6 linked regions of the Rattus norvegicus genome follow. The protein of the gene in region 6 interacts with the protein of the main gene of each other region in a pairwise test. Links are inferred from orthologs where the notes say so. Each region holds a gene or a part of one and is shown on either strand. Other genes may lie near its edges. The genes, in order: Zdhhc17, Otx1, Hsd3b7, Ubash3a, Prkab2 and Spry2.

The links.
Region 1: the proteins of Spry2 (region 6) and Zdhhc17 interact in binary tests that used the Homo sapiens proteins (3 or more experiments, as listed by UniProt). The link is inferred for Rattus norvegicus from reciprocal best matches to the Homo sapiens genes SPRY2 and ZDHHC17.
Region 2: the proteins of Spry2 (region 6) and Otx1 interact in binary tests that used the Homo sapiens proteins (3 or more experiments, as listed by UniProt). The two-hybrid records come from large-scale screens. The link is inferred for Rattus norvegicus from reciprocal best matches to the Homo sapiens genes SPRY2 and OTX1.
Region 3: the proteins of Spry2 (region 6) and Hsd3b7 interact in binary tests that used the Homo sapiens proteins (3 or more experiments, as listed by UniProt). The two-hybrid records come from large-scale screens. The link is inferred for Rattus norvegicus from reciprocal best matches to the Homo sapiens genes SPRY2 and HSD3B7.
Region 4: the proteins of Spry2 (region 6) and Ubash3a interact in binary tests that used the Homo sapiens proteins (3 or more experiments, as listed by UniProt). The two-hybrid records come from large-scale screens. The link is inferred for Rattus norvegicus from reciprocal best matches to the Homo sapiens genes SPRY2 and UBASH3A.
Region 5: the proteins of Spry2 (region 6) and Prkab2 interact in binary tests that used the Homo sapiens proteins (3 or more experiments, as listed by UniProt). The link is inferred for Rattus norvegicus from reciprocal best matches to the Homo sapiens genes SPRY2 and PRKAB2.

Annotation. Positions count from the first base shown.
Region 1 is NC_086025.1:48,317,201-48,321,374, reverse strand, and holds the start of Zdhhc17 (palmitoyltransferase ZDHHC17), read left to right. Parts: upstream 1-1,374; 5' UTR 1,375-1,413; coding exon 1,414-1,506; intron 1,507-1,512; exon of another isoform or gene 1,513-2,219; intron 2,220-3,809; exon of another isoform or gene 3,810-4,174. UniProt on the Homo sapiens protein: Palmitoyltransferase that catalyzes the addition of palmitate onto various protein substrates and is involved in a variety of cellular processes.
Region 2 is NC_086032.1:100,287,622-100,291,697, reverse strand, and holds the start of Otx1 (homeobox protein OTX1), read left to right. Parts: upstream 1-1,276; 5' UTR 1,277-1,419; intron 1,420-1,728; coding exon of another isoform or gene 1,729-2,048; intron 2,049-2,095; coding exon of another isoform or gene 2,096-2,183; intron 2,184-2,511; exon of another isoform or gene 2,512-2,794; intron 2,795-3,428; 5' UTR 3,429-3,537; coding exon 3,538-3,634; intron 3,635-4,076. Other genes in the region: collagen alpha-1(III) chain-like, read right to left, coding at 1-45, 222-456, 637-871, 1,729-2,048, 2,096-2,183. UniProt on the Homo sapiens protein: Probably plays a role in the development of the brain and the sense organs. Can bind to the BCD target sequence (BTS): 5'-TCTAATCCC-3'.
Region 3 is NC_086019.1:191,841,263-191,845,487, forward strand, and holds the start of Hsd3b7 (3 beta-hydroxysteroid dehydrogenase type 7), read left to right. Parts: upstream 1-1,425; 5' UTR 1,426-1,482; intron 1,483-1,830; 5' UTR 1,831-1,836; coding exon 1,837-2,002; exon of another isoform or gene 2,003-2,078; coding exon of another isoform or gene 2,079-2,112; intron 2,113-2,211; coding exon 2,212-2,367; intron 2,368-2,581; coding exon 2,582-2,690; intron 2,691-2,763; coding exon 2,764-2,863; intron 2,864-2,980; coding exon 2,981-3,143; intron 3,144-3,565; coding exon 3,566-3,981; 3' UTR 3,982-4,225. UniProt on the Homo sapiens protein: The 3-beta-HSD enzymatic system plays a crucial role in the biosynthesis of all classes of hormonal steroids. HSD VII is active against four 7-alpha-hydroxylated sterols. Does not metabolize several different C(19/21) steroids as substrates.
Region 4 is NC_086038.1:9,324,690-9,327,840, forward strand, and holds part of Ubash3a (ubiquitin-associated and SH3 domain-containing protein A), read left to right. Parts: intron 1-276; coding exon 277-421; intron 422-1,134; coding exon 1,135-1,241; intron 1,242-2,486; coding exon 2,487-2,596; intron 2,597-3,151. UniProt on the Homo sapiens protein: Interferes with CBL-mediated down-regulation and degradation of receptor-type tyrosine kinases. Promotes accumulation of activated target receptors, such as T-cell receptors, EGFR and PDGFRB, on the cell surface.
Region 5 is NC_086020.1:187,949,009-187,952,508, forward strand, and holds part of Prkab2 (5'-AMP-activated protein kinase subunit beta-2), read left to right. Parts: intron 1-953; exon of another isoform or gene 954-955; coding exon of another isoform or gene 956-976; coding exon 977-1,143; intron 1,144-2,407; coding exon 2,408-2,501; intron 2,502-2,709; coding exon 2,710-2,830; intron 2,831-3,500. UniProt on the Homo sapiens protein: Non-catalytic subunit of AMP-activated protein kinase (AMPK), an energy sensor protein kinase that plays a key role in regulating cellular energy metabolism.
Region 6 is NC_086033.1:89,109,127-89,113,211, reverse strand, and holds the start of Spry2 (protein sprouty homolog 2), read left to right. Parts: upstream 1-1,285; 5' UTR 1,286-1,810; intron 1,811-1,883; exon of another isoform or gene 1,884-2,989; intron 2,990-3,369; exon of another isoform or gene 3,370-3,535; intron 3,536-4,085.

The sequences.
Region 1 (4,174 bases), on a different chromosome or scaffold from region 6:
TAAACGGAGAACTAGAAATTCTGTTTAGGTTTGCATGGTTTCTGGTTTCTGCCAGGACGAAAAAAGAAAAAGAAAGAAAAAGAGAAGAAAATCGGTCCGTGCCGGAAGGAAAAGCTGTGCTGAGAGGATACACACAGATACAGCCAGCTCCAAAGAGAACAGAGATCACTTCTTTTCCCCCCCACCAGAAGGAAGCAGCTATAAAATAGCATATTCATCCTTTTCCGAGTGAATACTGCCTTTTTACCGACGATTACTAGGTCTACTTTGCCATTTTCATTCGTTACTGGGAGAGCCCAGTACTGAATTGTCCTAGCTTCAGGATCTTGTCCAATGCCTTGTTACTCCCGGCTTTTCCTCACCTCTTTAGAATCGATGATGTCCAATCCAGAACGGATCTCGGCTTTCCCTAGACCCTCCTCAGATTCTTTTGGCGGGAACACAAACCTTACAAAAGGGTTTCCTCTTCCATCCCCCTATTCTTTTTTCCCTTGTTATGTCTTCCGATTTACTATCAAATCTGGTTTCGTCCGACTGCAGGTTACCCCCGTCCCCCCACCCCCACCCCGGTGATCTTTAGCTGATTTGGTTTTGAGAGGGTTACTAGCAGAATCTCTAATCAGTCCTGTGTGACAATCGCTCTCTGCTAAATGTGCACAGGCTCCGTCGAGATTTACAATCCCTAGTAGCCAAAACCAGAAAATCCTTTCTACAATTGTTCTATCAGTCCCCTCCCAACCCTAAAATCCTCTTAAAGACGGCTTTAATCATTTTTATCTAGGTCACACTCTAGAGCTTTCATTTTAAAAGGTTTCACTTTAGAATTCCAGAGTTCTATTAAAATGCAGCAGATGGAACCGTGTGGGGCTTTGACCTTGTCAAAACGATGATTTAAAAATGTCCTAGCTCAACTGCAAGAGGGCATCACATAACAAAAGCTTTTCCAGGAAGCCACTTTTTGTCCTTGCTTCTCCGGGTATCCCCAAGGCACAGGCACCGAGGCGAGAACGCATCCTTGGTCTCCGGGGTCACACCCTAAGCCCTCGGCCGGGTCCCGACCCTGCCCTATGCGGCGCGGGATCTCGGTGCTGACCCGAGCGCAGCCTTGCCCTGGTAGCCGGAGCAGAGCAGCATCTGCTTCCGACCGGGACCCGCCCCCGGGCCGCGGCGCCCACGCCCAGCGCGGTCCGCTGCCCCGGCGCAGTGCAGCAGAGAGCACACTCCCGCTCGGCGCACGCGCATCGAGACCCGCGCCCTCCGCGGCGGGAGGGGCTGAGGGGGCGTCCGGGGGTTCGGGGGAGGAGGAGGAGGAGGAGGCGGCGGGCCGCGTCGCCCTCATCCGGGCTCGCGCTCGCCCTAGCGCTCGCCCTCCGCCTTGCCGAGCCCCGCGAGGCTGAAACGCTTTCTCCCAGCATGCAGCGGGAGGAGGGATTTAACACCAAGATGGCGGACGGCCCGGATGAGTACGATACCGAAACGGGCTGTGTGCCCCTTCTCCACCCGGAGGTGAGGGACCGCGCCGAGCGCCTTCCCGGCCCTGCGGCCCAGCGGCTTCGCTTCCCCAGCCTCGCCCGGGGCGGTGGCTGATGCGTCCGCGCGGTGACCTGTGCGGGACCCGGGGAGGCTGAAGAAGCGAGTCCAGGCCCGAGCGCGGCGGCGAGCGGATAACGGGGGAGGAGATAGCGGGGCGGGCCCGGCCGGGGCGGGCTCTGGGACGCCGTCCCTGGCGGTGCCTGGAGGACAGAGGTGGGGATGGCGATGGTTCTGTTTTGTTGCTGCGTTGCCTGCGGGTGCAGAGGCGACGGAGGCCTCCTGACACTTTGGAACCTCGGCTGAAGTCCCTGGTCTCGCTCCAAGCCTCTTCAGGGAGAAGAAGAAGCCTATCTGCTTTTGATTTTCTTCCCCTCTTCCCCTCTTTCTTGGTGGTGAATGACACTACCCTTCCCATTAGTTCACCCGTACCTGGGGGATAGTAGTTTCTTGGGCAAAGTGATGTCCTTCCAGGATATGGCATAGCAACCAGCTCGCCGCTGGTGACGGCGAATTTTGATGTATGAGTGTTTGCCTTTAAGCCATAAGAAAAGAGAGTGGGTCAGAACTTTCGGGAATAAACCCACGCACACATTAGCGTGTCACAAAGTAACGCTGTTTTGGGACTATTGGGAAGGGTAGACAGCGCAACACGTTTCCCACCGTTTCTTTTGTATCTTCTCATGAAAGTGAGCAGTTTTCTGTGCGGGATCAGTCACGTTCTGCAGTTGTTTACCTCCCAGCTTTGAGTTTGTGTTTAGTTAAGGCCTGGAAGCAATTCTTTGTGCATCCAGGTTTTTTAACCGTACGGTTCTATGTGAGGTGCGGGGAGGGCAGGAAAGAGTAGCGCAGTTTCCTGCAGAACTCTGGTCTTGTTTTGAGATTGAGAGTTGTGTACATACCCGTGGTGTTCACTACAGGGTGAACAAACGTGGTTACTTTGCGTTAGATTGGTTTTATTTCTTTATGGCTTTTGCATCTTCCTTTATTTTTCTTTTTATATATTGTGAATAACAAGGACCACTTTCGTATTAATACTCCGTTATTTCATAACTTGATCATATATATACACACATACATATATACATACACACATAGATGCATACAAATATACTACACACATAAATATATACACATATACACATTATCTATACTTACACAAAATGAGACAGTTTCTTAGAAATATATGCCAGGACAAGTCTCGTTAGAAAAGGATATTTTGGGTTTCTGACACAGCTATGTAGTAAGACGAAACTTTTTGAAAAATTAAAGTGTTAACAAACGTAGAATTGGCATTAGAGATTTCTTTTGGTTTACACCTAGTCCCTAGAAATAGGTCCAGGAACTTTTCTGATGTTATGTTGTATTTGTGGTTAAGGAATATTTCTGTTCATCTGTTCTGTGGGTATATTTCAAGCACTTAAAGTTTTTTATGTATTTTAATGTACTGTGACATTCAGTGGCAGTCGGATTAGGAGTTCAAAGCTCTTTGATAGTATGAATTGGAGGCCAGCTTGGGGCTCAATGAGACCAAACTATACACACACACACACACACACACACACACACACAAAACCAAAAAAAAAAAACAAAACTTTCCTTTCCTCTTTGTAAAAGTGTATGTCGTTACCCTAAACATAATTTTGCAGGGTGTGGTAATTCACATCCAGTATTTGGGAGTCAGGAATGTCCCTAAGTTCGAAGTCAGACTAATCCACTTAGCAAGTTCCAGGCCAGCCAGGACTGCATAGTGACACTGTGTCTCAAAACACTTTTTTAACCTAATAATAATCTAGAGATTGCTTGGTGTAATAGAGAGCTTGAAGTTTAGGTACCATGAGTTTGTTGTTTAACAGATGGTATGTTATTAGAAAATCAGCTTCCCCATTGTTCTCAGATGAAATTGATAAGATATAGATTTCTTTTACCAAGTAAGCACTAGGTCTAGTAAGTTTTAAGTTCTGTAACTTTGGGGACTGATTGCAATTGTTATTATTTTCTGTGGTTAGTTTCTTGCACCTGCTGTAGATCTAGTAGTGCTTCATTCCTTACAGTGTGTTAGGAGCAGAACAGGACAGGCTGTTTGTCTAGAGTTTTGTGAAATTGGGGTGGTGATGGTGGTGGTAGTGGTGGTGGTGGTGGTGATACTTAACTAATGGTCCATTAAGGAGCTAATGGAGCACATAGGCTTTTGTGTCCGACTGATGGGGATTACCATTCTGATGCTACTTCTGTTTGATCTCAATCTCTTCCTGCTTTTTTCCTTTTTCCTCTTCCAGGAATGGTGTCTTGTAGCCTTCAACTCCCTTTGTATCCAAAAATGACCTTGACTTTCTAATTCTCATACGGTGGATCAGCTATGTGCCGTAACTTCCTGTCTATGCAGTGCTGGGGAGTGAACCCAAAGCTTCGTGCATACTAGGCAAACCGTGTTGCTAGCACCTCATCCCTAGTGCTGGATTCTAATTTGGAATCCTCAGTAATTAAAGGAAGAAAAAACGTCTTAAAGTTTCTGTTTGTTCTTCAGACAATATCGATATTTCCAGACTGTGTTTAACCATATGGGAATGTAAGTCAGAATTCACGAATGAACACATTTTAGGCACTCTGGTAAGGTCATCTTTCCACTTTCACTACTAGACAT
Region 2 (4,076 bases), on a different chromosome or scaffold from region 6:
CCGAACTCACCCACGCACACACTGTGGTTCAAACTTTTCACCCGCCTGTTGGGGTGAAAGTGGCAGAAGATGAGGAGAAAGGACTAGGAAAGGGTGTGAATGTGGTCCCTAGTAGTCAGTAGGAGATGCCATGCTTTAAAAAAAAAAAAAGAAAGAAAGAAAGAAAGAAAGAAAGAAAGAAAGAAAGAAAGAAAGAAAGAAAGAAAGAAAGAAAGAATTGCCTTGTTCGGGGTTGGGCCGAAAATATTCTTTCCTCTCGCTTTGGAAAGTACACACAGGTAGACGATCTCGGCAAGTTTATTCGGCTGGAACCTGGGGTCCGCCAGTACGAACAATCCGGGGAAATTATTTCGAGGAGGCTCCTCCAGGAATGTGTAGAAAATGAAGTGAGGGGGATCGGAGTGTGTGGCCACATTTCCCACCGGACTGTCCTTTGTAGGTGCAGACCTGGAGAGACTGAGAGAGTGGAGAGTGTGAAAAAGAAAGTTTTCTATCAAACCCATTCAGTGTGTGTGTGTGTGTGTGTGTGTGTGTGTGTGTGTGTGTGTGTGTGTGTGTGTGTGTGTGTGTGTGTGTGTGTGTAAGATCTGAGTTCCAACGGTTCCGAAGAAGCAAGCTTTTAGGACGTGCGAACACCTTTGGTGGGGACTGCCTGAGAGCCCCTGGAGACGCTGAGCAGCTGGGAAGTGGCGGCGTCTCCCCAGCCGGCGCTCTTTCTGGGCGCCAGAGTCCCAGGGCGCCCCGGGGCGCCCTGAGCGCCGAGAGCTGCACCCCATCCCAGGCTCCGGCTCAGCAGCCCGAGCCCGCACGAGCCGCCCGCGGTGGCCGCAGGTTGTGGGGAACGGAGGAAGCACTGGGGCCCAGGGCGCAGCTAGGAGTGCCAGGGGCCAGCACGCCCCGAATCCGCGGCCCGGGAAGCCTGGCGCCCACAGAGCGGCGGCAGAGCCCGGCGGCGCGCGCGCGCGAGCAGGAACCGGTTATCCAGCAGCTTGACGCCACTCCTCCGGAGCGCGGCCCGGGCGAGGGGAGGGTGGGGGCCCTCGGGCGAGCCTTGGGACCCGGGGCCCCCTCTGCGCCTGCGACTCCAGCGCTGCCTTCACCCTCCTCGACTCCTTCTGAGCGGAATTTGCCACCCGAGCTCCGGAGTTAGCGCGCGACCGGGGCGGGGCCGGCGCGCGGGGAGGGAGGGGGTGGGAGCGAGGGAGGGCGGGGGCGCGCGGAGGTAACCCCGGCTCGCGCTGCCATTGCCCGGCTTCCTGTCACTCAGTCCGCTCTAGGCCCCCTATTGGCGGCCGGGCCCCGTTACGCACTCGCCTCGCGTTCACATACTCGGGGAGGGCAGTAGAAAGGTGATCAATCTTCATCAGGCTACATTTCCAATCACCTAAACAACCGAGCAAGACAAGCCACTCCGACAAGGTAAATTGCTTGATTTATTTAGTTTGCCAAGTGACTATGCAGGATTTCTCCAATCCCTACCGCCTCCGGGTTGCACCGAGAGTGCAGCTGCCACCTCAAGCCACCTCCTAACTCTGTCCCTCGAACACCCCCACCCACCCACCCCACCCCCCGGGTCCCGGGCGAGGCCGGGTCTTGGGAGGAAAAGCATGTGGGACTTTGCAAACAAAGTGTTTGTGCAATAAAGTGAAACCCGGAGGGACACGCACAGAGCTACTGGGAAAAAAAAATGCAGGAGACGGGAAGAGGGAAGTTGGGGAAGAGGAAAACCTGGGGTCCTAGCCCCGCCGCCGGGGTAACACCTGTGCGCCTCCGTTTTGCAGGTTGGCTGCCCGCGGGTCTCGGTGAGGGCGCGAGGTAGATGGTGAAGAGCCGCGGCAGCCGAGGGCAGGTAAGGAGGGAGTCGCGGGGCCGCGCGCCACCCGGGACGATGGTGGCCCCTCTCGCCTCCCCCTCCTGGAATCCACCCTCGCTACCGCGGTCCCCTGCAGGTGGGCGGGGCTGGGGTGAGAGACCAGGCGCCCCTAGGCAGCCCGAGGGACCCCAAGCCGCGCGGGAGCCGGCCGCCCCCTCCCCCGCCTCCTCCGAAGCTGCGGAGCCGGGGTGCTAAGTTAGACGAAAGTACTCGAAAACTCACGCCGCAGCCGGACAGAGCCGCGGCGGCTGCGGGCCTGTGGCCCTTCCGCCCAAGCGCCTCGGGTCCTTCCCTTCCCTTCGCCTCCCATGCTCACTGGGCCCCCTCAGTCCAGGCTTCGGGTCCCCTAGGACTGAAGCGTGGGGGAAGGAGTTGTGAAGGGGGAGCTGCTTTAGTCCTACCTTCCTTTCTCCCCAGAATCTCCCACCCTTGGGTCCTGGCAGAGCGGGAAGTAGCTACGAGCCCCCCTCCCCACGGCGGTCCCAGTCGTAACCCCCAGAAGCCACCACCCCCCCTTTTTTTTGCTGGGGGAGAGCTGTGTGGGCTCGCAGTGTCTGCGCCGAGCCTCGCGCTCCCAGGTTGGCTGTGAGTGAGTTTTACAACCTGAGGCCTAGTTCCTTGCTCTCCATCGGGTTCAGAGAGGACGGCGGGAGAGAGGCGACCTGCAACGCTCGGCCTTCCGAAATCCCTAGCATGTTTGGGGCACTGGGTTGATCATCTTTTATCAAACCCCGGTGGGACGCGGTGTGCTCAGCAGACTTGGTAGAAGGAAGGCCCGGCCTGCGCCAGCAAAGGAAGAGGGGTGACCGTCTTGGAGGTACCCCTGACCTTGAGCGGCGTCCTGAAACTGCCACTTCTACCGTGGCTCCTTTGGAGTCTTGTTGCCGCCTTATCCTGGCCTGGGCCGCATCTGCCCTGGAGGTGCGGTGGGATTCATGTTCATCTCTCTTGGCGTCAGGGACCCAGAGAGGTCAGCTAGAAAGGTGATTGCAGGCTCTGGGTAGGAGGCAGCCCTGAAGATCTTTGAAGAAATGACATGGCCAGTGAGCCTCGGGGATCCGAGGTGTACCCACCTTGGGCCTCTGTATTGCTTTGCCATTTTGTCCCTCTTTCAAAAAAAAAAAAAAAAACATTTCAAACTAAACGAAATAACCCCGTATCTCTCTGTGCGGCCTGCCCTCTCGGCGCCAAATGAACATTTGCTTGAGCAAATTGCTTCCGCCGCACTAAAAAAATTTGACTACACTTGGGATTTTGCACCCTTCGCGGTCTCGGCTCTCACCTCCTCAGCCTGATCACGCTTTAACTTTCCTTCCTGTTGACACTCGAGGAGTGTCTTTGGCCCTTGTCAAGCCCTAAAAGAGGAAGGAACGAAGCGGGGAAAGTTTACTTTCTTGAGAAGCTGTGTGGCTGCCGAGCTAAAGGAGGAGACATTTCTCTCGGGTTGCCTGCTGTGCAGTTCCTAGCATGCGCCCCCTCCCCATTCAAGGATTATAGGAGCTGAAAGCCAAACTGACTACGGGTGAAGGTTTCCATGTGTCTCCTGTCTCCCTAGGCCAGGCCCCAAGAAGCAACAGCTTGAAGGACGTCGCAGTGGGAGCCCTGAACTGCTCCTGGCCTCAGGCCCCCTGGATCCGTCGGGGCGCCTCCACCCGGCTGTTAGCATGATGTCTTACCTCAAACAACCCCCATACGGCATGAACGGGCTGGGCCTAGCTGGCCCTGCCATGGACCTCCTGCACCCTTCCGTGGGCTACCCTGGTGAGCAGTGGCCCTCTGTCCCTACCCCCCAAGCCTCTGGAAATATTGGGGGTTCCATCCCCTAAAGTTTGAGCCCACGCTGTCCCCCGACAGACCCAGGAGGGTGATTAGCACGCTGCCTGTTGCCTAGATCTGTTACAGGCAGATCTGGAGCCAAGGTCTGCTCAGAGAGCTTAGAAACTGCAGCCTACAACTTTTGCTCTGTGGAGTCTGCGACCTGGGTCCTCTTGTGTCCGCTTGCTAAGGAGGGCATGTTCTCCCCGCACCCCTCCCTCAATTTATTTCCCTCGGTTGCTTTTTCTAATTTTTTTTTTTTTACAAAAAATTCCTTCCCTCGTTCCAATATTTCATGCGGAATCTGGGCTTTCGCTAGGCCCCAACAGCCAAATTTTCCTTAGGTCTAGTTTCCCTGAGAAGCAGTTCTTTCTCCCTAGTTAAAGAG
Region 3 (4,225 bases), on a different chromosome or scaffold from region 6:
GCTGGGCCGGCCAGGGCTGGGCAGGGCTGGGCAGGGCTGGGCAGGGGGGAGGTGGGGTTGTGGCTCACACTGTCCCTCCTGCAGCCCAACTGCTATGCTAAGGTGATCACCATTGAGTCTCAGAAGAAGATCGTGATCTACTCAAAGCAGCCCATTGGCGTGGATGAGGAGATCACCTATGACTACAAGTTCCCACTAGAAGACAACAAGATTCCATGTCTGTGTGGCACTGAAAGCTGCCGTGGCTCCCTCAACTGAGGTGGGGCAGGACCGGTGCCCTCACCCCTATTTATTCCCCCTTGGTGCCCTAAGCTCCCAGCACCCCCAGCCTTATTGGGCTCAGCAGGGCCCACTGCCCCCACCTCCACATGTGGGATAGGGAGCCCTGAGTCCAGCAAGGGAGCCTCAGTCCTTTGAGGTTAACTTCTGCCTTCCCTATACCCCATGCCCAACCGCCCTCTTAATTTTTTTTTCTTTGCGAAGAAGAAGCTGTAAATGTTTTGTAGCTGCCAGCAGCTGTTTCCTGTGGAAACCTGGGGTACCAGCCTGTATAGATGCTATTCTTGGGGGCTGCATAGCCCTTTGCTTCATGTTAATGGGGACTTCCCCTTCTGCCCTATGTGCACCCCTCCCCAGTTTAGGGGTCTCTGGGGCAGTGGCCATGTTCTCCCCCTGGGGGGGCCTTTGGCCCCTAGTCCTGGGAACTCTGTGCCTGGAACCCTGCCTCATCTGTTCCTGCCAGACCCTGTGGGTCACCCTCCCACCCTGGTGTCTCAGGGCTCTGGCTCAGTAGGCCAGGATGGTGGGGGGCAGGCCCTTCTTGTTGGGCTGGACTGTACATAGTGTTAATAGTGAAACCCAACACCACATTTTTATAATTGTGATTAAACTTTATTGTACAAAAATGCCTGGTCAGTATCTTTGGGAAGAGCAGATTGGGGGATGCAAGTTGACACTGGGTGAAGCAAAGAGAGGAAAAATGATGGCCTGGAGTTTGGGTGAATCAACCTGCAGACACAGTGCTGCTCTGGACCAACCACCTAATAGGCTGCAACAACCATGCCACTATCACCATGGACGCCAGCCAGAGTTATATAAGATCAGGTTTACCTCACTCTTCCTCCCCAGAACCACAGCGGGTGGTTCTATTGGGAAACCCACAGGAGGGAAGGACCAAGGTTACATAGCAGTGATGAGGTACCCTGTCTGCTCTACCCCACTATCCCTAAATACTTCACATTACCAAGTGGGCAGGTGCCCCTGGAGGGTGGACTGGCCACCAGGGGGCACTCTGGCAAGAGAATTCCCTCCAAACTGCCTTGCCCGCCCCTAGGGGTGGAGGCTGGCTGGTCTCCTTCCTGGAATGAGCCAGGAGGGAGGAGCGAGCGGAAGGAAGGAAGCCTGTGTGCATCTAGCTGGTCCACCAGTCCAGGACACAACATCTCCCAGTGGCCAGTTTGGGCGCCCTGGGACTTCCTACAGGTAGGCAGAGGTGGTACTGAGGCCCGGCTGGCTCTTCTCTTACTTGTTCTGAACCCTTCCAACCTCCCTGTCCAACTCCTTGCTTTCTCTGCCTATCCTTGCTATCTTTGCCTATCTAGTCATTTTTTCCATCTGTCTCAGTCCCTAATCCCTTTCTGTGTCCAATTCTAGTGACTCAGCAGTTAGGGTCAGAGGGCAGGGAGCCTTAGTGCTACAAGCACAGGAAACGAACCCACAGCTACTGCTCAGCCTCTCCACCCACCCACTGCTCCCACCTAATAGCTCTCTTCTAGGAACAGTGGAGCAGCTGGGCAGGCAATTCTAGTGAGCTAAATTCTCTTCCCACAGCTGGCCATGGCAGACTCTGCACAGGTGCCAGCACTGGTATACCTGGTCACAGGTGGCTGTGGCTTCCTGGGGGAGCATATTGTTCGAATGCTGCTGGAGTGGGAGCCCAGGCTCCGGGAGCTGCGTGTCTTTGACCTGCACCTGAGTTCTTGGCTGGAGGAGCTGAAAACAGGTGACTGGAGTGAGGCAGTGAGGAGGAGGGAGGTCCCATCCCTTCCCAAACTGGGATACCTCAGCTTGTGGAAAAGATGATTTCTGTGTTTGTTCTCCACCCCACACAGGGTGAGTCATTGGTTCACGTGGCTCCCAGGGTATATGCAGGCCAAACTCAGCAGCTGGCTAAGACTCCAGCCCTGACACTGCCTCGCATCTCTCCACCAGGGCCTGTGCAGGTGACTGCCATCCAGGGGGATGTGACTCAGGCCCACGAGGTGGCAGCAGCCATGGCTGGATCTCATGTGGTCATCCATACAGCTGGGCTGGTAGATGTGTTTGGGAAGGCCAGTCCAGAGACCATCCACAAAGTCAATGTGCAGGGTGAGGTGCTACCTACCTGTTAATCCCCAGTGTGTGGCCTGACTCTGGCCAGTGATTTTTATGCAAGGACCTGCCTGTCCTTTTGATAACCTTGTCCATTCATTGCTGTCCCACCCTGTCCTGACCTGAGGTGGTTCCCCTTGGACACTGGGTGGGGTGGAAGGAAATCAAGAGGCAGGAAGACACAGCTTGCATCTGACCCTTCCCTTCACAGGCACACAGAATGTGATTGACGCTTGTGTGCAGACCGGGACTCGGCTCCTGGTCTACACGAGTAGCATGGAAGTGGTAGGGCCTAATGTCAAGGGCCACCCCTTCTACAGGTGAGCTTAGCCCCACGTAATCTCAGAGCCCCCTTTTCCCTCCAGCACTGATCTTTTCTCTCCCCCACTCTAGGGGCAATGAAGACACCCCATATGAGGCCATCCACAGGCATCCCTACCCATGTAGCAAGGCCCTCGCTGAGCAGTTGGTCCTCGAGGCCAATGGAAGGAAGGTACACAGCAAAGACTGGGGTGCAGAGGCAGAGCCCGACTCCCAGGCTGCTTTGCACCCATCTCCAGCCATAGTGGGGAGGGTGGGCACATCTTCCAACATCTCCCTCTGCCACCAGGTCAATGGAGGGCTACCCCTGGTGACATGTGCCCTTCGACCCACGGGCATTTATGGTGAAGGTCATCAGGTCATGAGAGACTTCTATCACCAGGGACTGCGCTTTGGAGGTCGGCTGTTTCGGGCCATCCCAGCTTCCGTGGAGCATGGTCGGGTCTACGTTGGTAAGGACAGGGAAAGGCAAGGGGAAGGCAGGGCGAGAGGACTGGCTCTGAAGGCGGCAGAGGCACGAGTGTATGCCTGGCCCCACGAGGGCAGGCAGACAGTGACTCAGGCAGACGGTGGGCATGTGGGCATTTTCTGCATGAGTTGTAAAGGAAAAAGTATCCACAGCAGTCGGGAGGGCCGACATAAAAACATGTCCTAGGTTCTGCCAAACACTGAAGCAATGGGAGCAACAGCTCCGCTGGGAAAGGGGTAGCATCTACATGGGAACCAAGTAGCTTCAGGACACCCAGGAGGGCTATGGCTACAGGGCCTTGGAAAGAGGCAACCTTGACTCTAGAGAGGTGTGGGCAAAATCTACATGGGGCAGACTAGAGGACTGGACCAAGGCCAGCTTCTCTCCCTCCTTCCCTACTGGTAGGCAATGTGGCTTGGATGCATATACTGGTGGCCCGAGAGCTGGAGCAGCGGGCAGCACTCATGGGTGGCCAGGTGTATTTCTGCTATGATAAGTCACCTTATAAAAGCTACGAGGACTTCAACATGGAGTTTCTGAGTCCCTGTGGACTTCGGCTGATAGGCACCCACCCACTGCTGCCCTACTGGCTACTGGTGCTGCTGGCTGCCCTCAACGCTCTGCTGCAGTGGCTGCTTCGGCCGCTGGTGCTGTACACACCCCTGCTGAATCCCTACACTCTGGCTGTGGCCAACACCACCTTTACTGTCAGCACCAACAAGGCACAGCGCCATTTCGGCTACAAGCCCCTCTTCTCATGGGAAGAGAGCAGGGCCCGCACCATTCACTGGGTGCAGGCCATGGAGGGTTCCGCCTGGTGATGGCAGGGCCAGGAACTGGAGACCACTGTGGCACACTCCAGGTCCTGAGCCCCCAAAAGCCTGGACGGAGAGAAATGGCTACCTTTTGAAGCTGCTGACTCTGCTAGACACATCAGGACTGTGCTATGGACCCTGCCACGTCTGTGCCTGGTTCATATCCCAGTCTCCAAGTTCTAGGACAGAGTCTGGGTGCAGGCCTATCTTTGGTGCCAACTCGGGCCTGCCAGCTAGTTGGCAAAAACTG
Region 4 (3,151 bases), on a different chromosome or scaffold from region 6:
GCTGGAGAGACGGCTCAGAGGTTAAGAGCACTGGCTGCTCTTCCAGAGGTCCTGAGTTCAATTCCCAGAAACCACATGGTGGCTCACAACCATCTGTCATGGGGTCTGGCGCCCTCTTCTGGCTTTCAGGCGTAACTCCAGCTTGTGTCAAGTTGACAAAAAAAAAAAAAAAAAAAAAAACAAAACGCTAACTACCGTGCCGGGTCTAGCTATGAAGAAGCCTCTCTATGTAACGCGGATGGTAACTCCTTCGCACTTGTTTTCCATTGACCCAAGAGCTCAAACTGGAGAGGAGGCTGAAGATAAAAGTTGAGCCCGGAATCTTCGAGTGGATGAAGTGGGAAGCCGGCAAGGCCACTCTGACCTTCTTGACCTTGGAGGAGCTGAAAGAAGCAGACTTCAATGTTGACCTCGACTATAGGTATGGGTCTTGCAAATCTCGGCCACCGAGGCTTCTCCGGTCCTTGTTAAAGAAAATCTATCTACCGAGGTAGAGCCGTGAGGTGGGGGAGTAAGGCAGACTGGGCTGTGTATATAGTACCAGCAGGATCAGGGGAATGGGAAATGGCTTGAGGGTTACGGTTTTGCTCAACCAAACCGTCAAGACTCCTGGTGAAAGGGGCTGGGGATTTAGCTCAGTGGCAGAGCCCTTACCTAGGAAGCGCAAGGCCCTGGGTTCGGTCCCCAGCTCCGGAAAAAAGAACCAAAAAAAAAAAAAAAAAAAAAAGACTCCTGGTGAAGGCGGCTAGAGGTGATGGAGGTTGGGGAAACTGACCACATATAGAAGATGGGGTATTCCTGCTAAAAAAAGGGGATGAACACAGGGACCTCACCCAGAAGAGGGTCCTCACTCTGGTTTGTGAAGGGGAGTATCTTTGTCTTTCCCACCGGGTGACTGTCTCCAGGTGGGCTGAGATGTACGGCTTTCCTGTTTGGCCATCCTCCATGCTGGTGGTTCCCTTGGCCAGTGTGGAACACTTCCAGGAGCCCCTGCTGGCTGGGAACCCATGAGCCGTGCCCAGCAGGCCGTCTGGAGGATCATGGCCCCACTTGGCTGCTCCAGCACACTCTTGTTCACCAGAAGGCTGCAGAACAGCAGCCCATGTCTCTCTCTCTCTCTCCATCCTCTTTCAGGCCAGCATTCCCCTGCTGCTCCCTCTTGCCAGCCGAGAGCTATGACCAGTACGTGGAGAGGTGTGCCGTGAGCATGGGGCAGATCATCAACACATGCCCACAGGACAGTGAGTGTCCCACAAGCTTGAGGAGGACAGCCTCGGGCTTCCCTAGGATGGGATTAGCTGATTCTGGGCTGTTAGCGTCCCCACTTCCCAACCCCCATACTCTGGCCAAGACAGTATGTCATCTCCACCATGACAGAGTGTGGATGCACGCACACATATCCTATGATATCTTAGGGTTTTACTGCTGTGAGCAGATACCATGACCAAAGCGAGTCTTATAAGAACGACATTTAATTGGGGCTGGCTTACAGGTTCAGAGGTTCAGTCCATTTATCATGAAGGTGGGAGCATGGCAGCATCCAGGCAGGCACGGTGCAGAAGGAGCTGAGAGTTCTACGTCTTCATCTGAAGGCTGCTAGGAGAAGACTGGCTTCCAGGCAGCTAGGATGAGGGTCTTAAAGTCCACACCCACAGTGACACACCTACTCCAGCAGGGCCACGCCCACCCCAACAGGGCCACACCCACCCCAACAGGGCCACACCCACCCCAACAGGGCCACACCTTCTAATAGTGCCACTCCCTGGGCCAAGCATATACAAATCATCACACCAGGCTTGCTTGCTCTCATGCTGAGCATGAATGGACCTAGACCATCAGGGTCATCACAAACTATGGGAAAAGAGAAGCCCAGTATGACAGAGGGGTAGCCAAGGCCTAAGGAAAAGGAGGCATAGCCACAGCCCACCTGCCCTAACCATCGGCCAGCCATGCTCCCAGCTCTCCCACTTCACACCATCAACCACCATCTCTCCCAGCTTTCCTTTATCCAGCATGAGGCACACACAGAGGTGCCAGGTCCCACACCACTCTCCAGCTGTCTGGAGCCCATCATGTCACCTGAGGCATCTCCCCAGGTCCTGCTAACCCTTATCTAAAAGCAGGCAGCATCTCAGGCTCACCGTGATAAGCCAGATAAAGTGATTGGCTCGGGTCTTGGCGGCAGCCATCACACACTCCGCCTGTGACTGACAGGACCTAGGCAGCCATCCACAAGGACAGCGACTCAGATCATCATCATCCTTACGCCATCCTTGAAGCTGTCACACAGTCACCACATCCTAGCCCCGGGCCCCGTGTGACAAGGTGGTGTGCTCTAAGCCATAGCAAATGACTGCTCTTCCTACCCATACTCACCCCACCATCTCACCAGGGCACAGTAGCGGGACCCTCAAGACTTTGAAGAGACTTATAGGTTGCAAAGGGCTCCCTGGGCCTGCTCTGACCTTGAGGTGTTTTGTCAACAGTGGGCATCACCCTCATTGTGAGCCATAGCTCAGCGCTCGACTCCTGCACGAGGCCACTCCTTGGGCTCCCACCCAGAGAATGTGGGGATTTTGCCCAACTGGTAAGAAAGGTATGTGTCCCTCTTTTTATGCCCCTTTAACTTCCTTTTCTTTTTTTTCTTTTTTTTTTTTTTTTTTTCGGAGCTGGTGACTGAACCCAGGGCCTTGCGCTTGCTAGGCAAGCGCTCTACCACTGAGCTAAATCCCCAATCCCTGCCCCTTTAACTTCCAAGTAAAGCAAGCGTTTTAAAGAATGACGTGCCCATCAAACCGAGGGCTGGCAGGACTACGTGAATGTGCCCACCTGCTCCCATGGAGAGCATACCTGCAGGAGCTGTGGGGTAAGCCTGTCACCCTAACACCCGAGTGGCAGTCTCCCCGGTTCTTTGCAGTCAGCGATGTCAGGAAGTTTCAAGGTTTGTTCAGTGCTAGCCCATAGCTCATCCTCTGCAGCTCTAAGAGCACAACAAAGGTCCTATGAGGAGTCAGGAGACATTGTTTGAGTAAGAAGAGAAGGCTAGACCTTGTGTGGTCCTGCCTTCCTCTGTGGGGATGGGAGGGGGTGCTAGGAGGGGTGGGTACTGACAGATAGAAGGAACCTCCACCCACTCACCTCCTGAGTCTCC
Region 5 (3,500 bases), on a different chromosome or scaffold from region 6:
TGCTTGACCTGGTACCATGCAGTCTTATTTACCAGCCAGTGAAGCCATTCCATAGGAGGGGTGAGTAAACCTTTTCTGTAAAAGGCCAACTAATACACATAATTTAGGGTCATAATCTCCCAGGTCTGCATGGTGGCAGTGAGCTGTAGATGACAGGTACACACGTGCATGGCTGCTTCCAAACGGAAGCTTTGTAAAAGCAGTCTGGCTCACGGCTGCGGTTGGCCCACGCCTGTCCTGAAGGATGGCCTCGGAACCCTATAAATCCCATTAAGTAATGGAACTGCTTTTGCTCAAGGAAGCTGCTTTTGATCTTGTGCTCCTAGAGCTCCAGGATGTCATGTATCGTCCTGAGGTGATTTTATGAACCTGGCCTAAGTAAGCAAGTAAGGTTTCATAACCACTTCAGCTCTACCGGGTCAGTGATGTGGTTTCCGAATTCATGTCGATTGATGGATGATGGTGCTAGAGATGAAACTCAGGGCCTCAGACTCGGTAGGAAAGTGCTCTGCACTGAACTACATCTCCAACCCTTTAAATTTTAATGCCCTATTGTACAACCAAGTAGCTAAACAGCATTGTTAGTTACTTAGGAATTTTGGTATCTCTAACTTTAATTGTAACTGCCAGAGAACTGTTTGCCTCTGAAAAACATGTAGCTGGCTTAATTTTCTTTTAAAGAACCATACTTTCTTCTAGTTCCTTATGAGGTGTTCAGGAGCATATCCTAATTGCCTGCATACAAGCTGAACTGGTAGTCTGAAGGAAGGGTTTTGGGTGATCCAAAGGCTCTCTGAGGAGACTGATGTGAGCCATAGTTCTTTTCTATAGTTTGTTCATTCTCTGATTTAGTTGCTGAATTTGGGCTGTCTCACTTTAGTTGAAGCCTAATTTAATGCCCCTTAAAAACCTTTGGGACATCTTAAAAACCCTTGGGTCATAATTTATTCTAGGGATGACCTACTCCTTCTTACAGCTCCCTGGGGACAAAGAGTTTGTACCCTGGCAGCAGGATTTGGATGATTCTGTGAAGCCCACCCAGCAGGCCCGGCCTACTGTTATCCGCTGGTCTGAAGGGGGCAAGGAGGTCTTCATCTCTGGGTCTTTCAACAATTGGAGCACCAAGATCCCTCTGATTAAGAGGTGAGGACAGGCATTCTGTTGAGTCTGCAGCATGCAGGAATCGGCACCTAATTGCCTTTTTTTTTTTTATAATTTATTTAATTTATGTGAGTACACTGTAGCTGTCTTCAGACACACTAGAAGAGGGCATCGGGTCCCATTATGGCTGTGAGCCACCATATGGTTGCTGGGAATTGAACTCAGGACCTCTGGAAGAGCAGTCAGCACTCTTAACCGCTGAGCCATCTCTCCAGCCCGATTGCCTTTTAAGAAGAGAGAGGGCCTCAGGAGTTTCTAACAGCACTGTGTGTGTGCCATTCAGGACCGTGCTTCTCAAGCCATTTCCTGTCTGGAGGAAGCCTGGAAATCACTAATCCTGTTGCTTTGATTTCTGTATTAAAGTAAAATACATTGTGACATTCTAGGTATAATGCCAGTTATCGCTGACAACACAGTAGTGAATGATGTAAGTGGTTGTCAGAGTGACCCTCTACATAATGGGGTCATTTTCCAGAAAAGACTCACCAAACTATGGAAAGGGTACCCTGAAATATTCCCAACCCAAACCTATCTTTTATGTTAATCATATTTGTGAATACTGCTTTGTGTGTAACGTGTGTTTGTGTGTATGTGTGTACATGTGCATGCATGTACATGCAGACATGTGTACCCATATGTGTGCATGTGAAGGCCACAGTAAGCCCCAAGAATCTTCCTCTGTGGCTTTCAGCCTTGTTGCCTTGAGACAATCTCACTGAACCACAATATCTCCATTTCAACTAGTTTTACTGGTCAGCAGTTGATTGGGGTCTGCCTGTCTCTGCCCTGCCCCCGCCCCCTCCCCCAGTGCTAGAGTTACAGAGGGGTGTGTGTGTGTGTGTACCCATGCCCAGCTTTTTCCATGGATTCACACTCAGGCCCTGAAGCTTACAACAAGCACTCATAGTGGCTGAGCACAACTCCCTAGCTCTAAGAAATCTAAACATTTTGGCAATCACTCCCCTCCCCGCCCCCAACACACACACACACACACACACACACACACACACACACACACACACACACGTGATGGAGAACAGAGTTAGTGGGAGAGGTTGACAAGCACATGTGTTGACTGATACAGAGGCAGAGAATGGATTTGTACCGTGGGGTGAGGTGAGCACAAGGACTGTAGCTTAGGAAGCCTTAGGAGGCCATTGTAGTAGCCCCATCATTTCCTCTTACTTTTTCACACTCTGTCTTCTTAAGGAACTTGGCCTATTTGACCTTCTGTTTTCTTCTCTAGTCATAATGACTTTGTTGCCATCCTGGATCTTCCCGAGGGAGAGCACCAGTACAAGTTCTTTGTGGATGGACAGTGGGTTCATGATCCATCAGAGGTAAGGCCTGGATTTGCAACGGAGCCTCAGTGGCTTCCTTGTGACTCACTACCCTCCAGTTCAGTGGGCAACAGGCTTCCTACTAGGGACTTGTCATAAAAGTAGAGGGGCACTTGGGTGATGATATAGATTTAAAAGGGAATCCAATTTTATTTCATTTATTTATTTGTTTGTTTATTTGTTTGTTTATATTTCTTCACTGTTTCAGCCTGTGGTTACCAGTCAGCTTGGCACAATTAATAATTTGATCCATGTCAAGAAATCTGATTTTGAAGTATTTGATGCTTTAAAGTTAGATTCTATGGAAAGCTCCGAGACATCATGTCGAGGTAATATTATCCTATTGCTTTCTCTTGCTATGTCTTTCTTACAATGCATATTCCTTCCCCAAACTGGTTTCTTGTTTTATTTTGCATTTTCATGTTTTTCTCGGAATCTTATAATCTCACACACACACATGTGTGCACACATGCTTGCACACAAGTCCCATGTGTATAATGTCTGCCTTTCTTACTCTGACACACTGTTCTCCATTTTACCTTTATGTAATCCACCAGTAGTCTGCGGTATCAAATGCTATTTCCAGTAAGATTTCACACTTTCCGTGAGCATCTGGTGATATTACCTGTAGAGGCTAGATGCGTCTAGTTTGTCTTATTAACCTGAATCAGCTAGTTTGGGAGCTCAACTGGCAATTATGATTTTATGAGAGCCTACAACTATAATTGTCACTGAGGGAGTGTGAGAAAAAAAACCAAACCAATAGTTGCTCTATGTAGAATTGAATCTGCAGGGACAGTCCTGGATGTTTTGTTTCATGTGTACTCCTTCCCCCAGGTCTTTCTAAGTGCTTGTTCACTCCGACAGCAGAGGCACATTGTCTTGTTACTGTATGGTGGGAGGTGTGCCTGCCTGGAGAGCTGCACACTTTATCCGCTGAGCAAAGAAAATGAGACAAGGCCCTTGTTTGCAAAGCCTGCCTCTGCTACTAGTCATGCC
Region 6 (4,085 bases):
CTTAGTCCAGCCACGGCCAGAGCGTATGTATTTTCTGTATTTTAAATAGTTAACTATAGTCCGCTTCCAACAAGAACAGGAGGAACATATATGAGAATGTTCTAGGTGACAGATAGTGGGATTTGAAAGATGACGCTCTTTTTATTTATGGTTTCGCGAAGGAGGACTTCTGTAGGGAAACAGACCCCCCCCCCATTTCGGAAGTCCATGATGTCGCCCTGAGTAATCGCGTGGGTATTACAGAATTAATTTAAAAGGTTTTTTGCATCGAGCAAAACAATACAAAAAAAATCTTCAAAAGGCCTCCATCTATAGATAACCCCTCTTAAAAATGAAATTCTAACAAACTACAAGTCCACACACAATCAAAAGCCAATCCCAGTCAGAGCAGAAGGGACTTGAAACCCGAATCTACATTCCGTTCCTCCCGTACAAGGCTCGGAGGTGGGGGAGGCGGGCTGTGCTGGTGCCCGGTGTATAATCGGGTTAATCCAGTAGACAAAGAATAAACCAATAGCCCTCCCACCTCACTTCCCGCTCCCCTTTCCCTCCCCCTCCTGCTCCCACCCCCACCCTCTTCGCCCCCTGGGCATCGGTGGGGGGTGGGGTGGGGGAAACACAGGAGAGAAGAGGTAGAACCGAAATGGATTCCAAATCGAATCCAAAAAGCTGCAGCTCGGCTTTCCACGCTAAGGCTGTGCGGCCGGGTTAGTTTGCAACGTCCCTCCTTCTCCTCTCCCGGCGGCGAGGAAGAAAGTTCCCTAAGTGAGCCCCAGCCCGCGGCTCGTGGCCTCTGGGGGGGAAACCCTTAAGGTCAGTGTTTCCTTGAAACTAGATAAACTGACCTCGCGGCGGCCAGCGCGGCCCCGCGTGACGGCGCCCGGGCTGCAGGAGCGACTGGGGACGCGCGGGGCGGCGCGGTTGCCCTTTTGAATGCCTCCTGCGGCTCGGAGCGCTGGCGGGCGCTGGAGTGCGAGTGAATGTAGCCCCGCGGAGCCAATGAGCTGGGACCGGATGCGATATATCCTCTGGGACAACAACTGCTCTGTTCCGCCTCGGATCCACATGACGCCATTTACTGCTGCCGCGGCCGCTGCAAAGCTCCCTGCCTCCTCCGGAAAGGCGAGGGCGCAGGCCAGCGGCGCCCCCCCGCCCGCCCCCCATCCCCGGCCGGGCCCCAGACCCTCCTCCCCCGCCGCCTCCTCCTCCCCCTCCGCACCCCCACCCCCGCCTCGGCTTCGCCGCCGCGCCTCCGCAACGCCCAGTCTGCACGAGCGAGAGCTGCGCGCCGCAGCGCCAGCGGAGGAGAGGGGCCGGCGGAGCGCGCAGCGCCCAGGCCCCCGCGCGCGCCCGGCCCGGCCCGCGGCCCCGCGCCTGCCTCCGCTCGGAAGCAGCCCCGGGCCCCCAGGACTTGGCGAGCTGGCCTTAGGTTCTTTGTAAGGCCGTGCTCGCCTCGCTTTCTCTCATCGACCAGGAAAAAAAAAAGAGAGACTCGCCAACGTTGGCGCTTCGGCCTCTTGTTCATTGAGAAAAAAAAAGGGAAAGAAAAAAAAAAGGCAGAGGAAATACTCCGCGTGCGCTTCTGGAACGGAGGTCATCTCTCTAGCTCGGAATCCGGGAGGGTTCCAACGGTGGAGGATTTGGCTTCCAAATTTTCCCGTGGTTTTAATCCTCCCACCGACTGCTTGGAAGTTGGACTGAAGCAGAGTTTGGAGAGAAGGAAAAAGTTTGCATCGGGACTGGATTTATTTGCACATCGCTGGAAGAAGAGAATCCAAGGGAGAGGGGTTGGTGCAAAGCCGCGATCACGGTGAGGAGCATTTGGCTTTTCCCCTTCTGGAACCACAGCCGGCCGGGAGTGGGGTCCGGGTTCCTCTCTCCCCCTAAACCCGCAGGCTTCCCGGGAGGATCAGGAAGCTATCCCGCGGATCTGCTTCGCCTAGAACAGGGGTTCGGCCACGGCCGGGCTACAGGGTGCGCCGGTGCAGTGTCCCCCGTCCCGCGACAGCTCACTCTCTTGCGGGGTTTGGGGCGTTGGACCGCTTCACTGCGTTCTACTCCTACCCCTGCATTGGCGACGATTCAGTCGCCGAGAGCCTTAGAGGGAGGGAAAACACTTTGTGTTTTCCAGGTCGCTGTTGCAGGCTCTGGCATTGCTAACCTGTTCTTCCATTCGGTGGAGGCTAAGTTATAGGAGAGCTAGCCTGCGGCGGGGGCGCCTGTGGGGTTGGGGTACTGGGCTTCTCACCTCTCCACCTCACCGGGGCCGAAGCCCGGCGGGCGAGCAGAGGGTAGAGTGCCAAGCGGAGGGAGTCCCCGCCTCTGCCCGGTGTGGACAGTCTAGCCCGGTGCGGGTGGGAGCGTCGCCCAGCCTGGCGCCGCGTCTCTGCGGTTCGGAAGTGCAGCTTTCTCTTTTTTTCCGTTCTTCGTGGTCGGCCTAGGTCACGCTTTTTTTTTTTTTTAAATATATTTGGACACTTAGGCTGACCTAGACAGGAAGAGAGTTATCAAGTGGTCGCGGTCGGTTTCCATTACCTGAAAGTAGGTGGCAAAATAAAAAGGCTAGTTCCCCCCTCCCTCTTTTGTGTTACTGTTTTTAAGATTTGGAGTCTTAACGCCTTTTTTACAAAGGGGTTTCTGTGTCGGTTTGCCCCACCCTAGTGCTGAAGTCCTTTCCCCCTAATCCTTAGTCTGATCACACACTGTTCTTAATGGGGGTTTCAAAGCACTCTCAAAGGGGGAGGGAGAGGAACTGGGAGAGCGCAGAAGGGTGGAAGGGGGGCGCCTGCGATGGAGGCGGCCAGGGATCTGTAGAAATCACTTTTTTTTTCTTCCGAAGATGCTACTTTCCCTAGCAATCAGGTCCTCACGGAAAGTTTCCAGTCCGGGGGCTCAGAGTTCTGCATGCCTGGCGTGTGCAGTCTGGCTCTGGATAAAGCTATTTTTCTTTCGTTTTAAGAATCATGTCTTATTCCTGATCTAAAAAGAGGTAGGCGTGTGCAGATTGCAGACAGTGCCCGCTCCGGTCATTGCACCGTGGAGTCGCCCTGGGAGCGTGGGTCTATAAGACCTCCGTGCAAGCTGTGCGTCCTGAGCCAGGCTCTCTTCCTCAGGGCGTCGGATTTGGAAACTTGTGAGGACAGGCGTTTTGAGGGCCTTCGCTGAAACACCTTGTGGTGACCTTGCAGCGGGGGTGGGCGTGTTAAGAGTGGCTCCCCCTCTTGGGGCTGGATGGCAGTTCCTCTTGGGTTGGGGGAAATTTTAGCCGCGGGGGTGGAGGAGGGGGAAGTGTGCTCGTGCCTTGCATGACACGTCCCCTTCGGAGGCGCCCGCGCCCCCTGCCTGCCTGAGCTTCTGCGGATTGTACACGGGAGGGGCCGGTCTGGCCCTTGGACCGCATCAGTCGGCTTGGAGAAAAGTCCCCCGGGGTTCTGGCTGAGTCCCACCTGCTGGGGACTGTGTGGGGGCGCTGATAGAGCCGATAAACGGGTTGGGTTGAAAGCGAAGAACAGCCTTGTGTACCTTGCTGTTGGAGGTGAGCAGATCCGGTTTTCAGCTCTGCCTGGTTTGTCACCTGCCTTGTTCGCTGTCCTTTTCCAAAAAGCAGAGGTTGGATTAAAAATCCGGTTTTGCATCTTTCCCTTTGTATTTTCATGTGGACTCGGGTGAGGGGATGGGATGGTACTTCCTAGACCGAAGCATGACTGTAATTTTTAAGTTCACTTGACAAGATCATAGGTTTCCACTGTAACACTTCAGATTTCTAAAACTTTTCTTGTTGCTGCTACTTGCTTGGTGCTCTCGGGTATTTTTCAACACGAGGAAATAATTTATTTTTTGCATGCTTTATTTGTAAAACAAGAGAATGACTTGTGGTTCAGAACCTAAGGCATGCATAGGCTTTGGGTCTTGTAGGATGTTTGGTTCACGAGTTGTGGTCTTATATGAGTTTGTTTTCCTGTGCTACCTAGTGGGATCCGAAATGATTTATTTTAATTATATAACTTTGTGCTAACATGCTTATTTAAAATTTCACCTTAATTGCCCTTGAAATGTACTTTTTATGTCCTAGTCGTCCTAGGAGA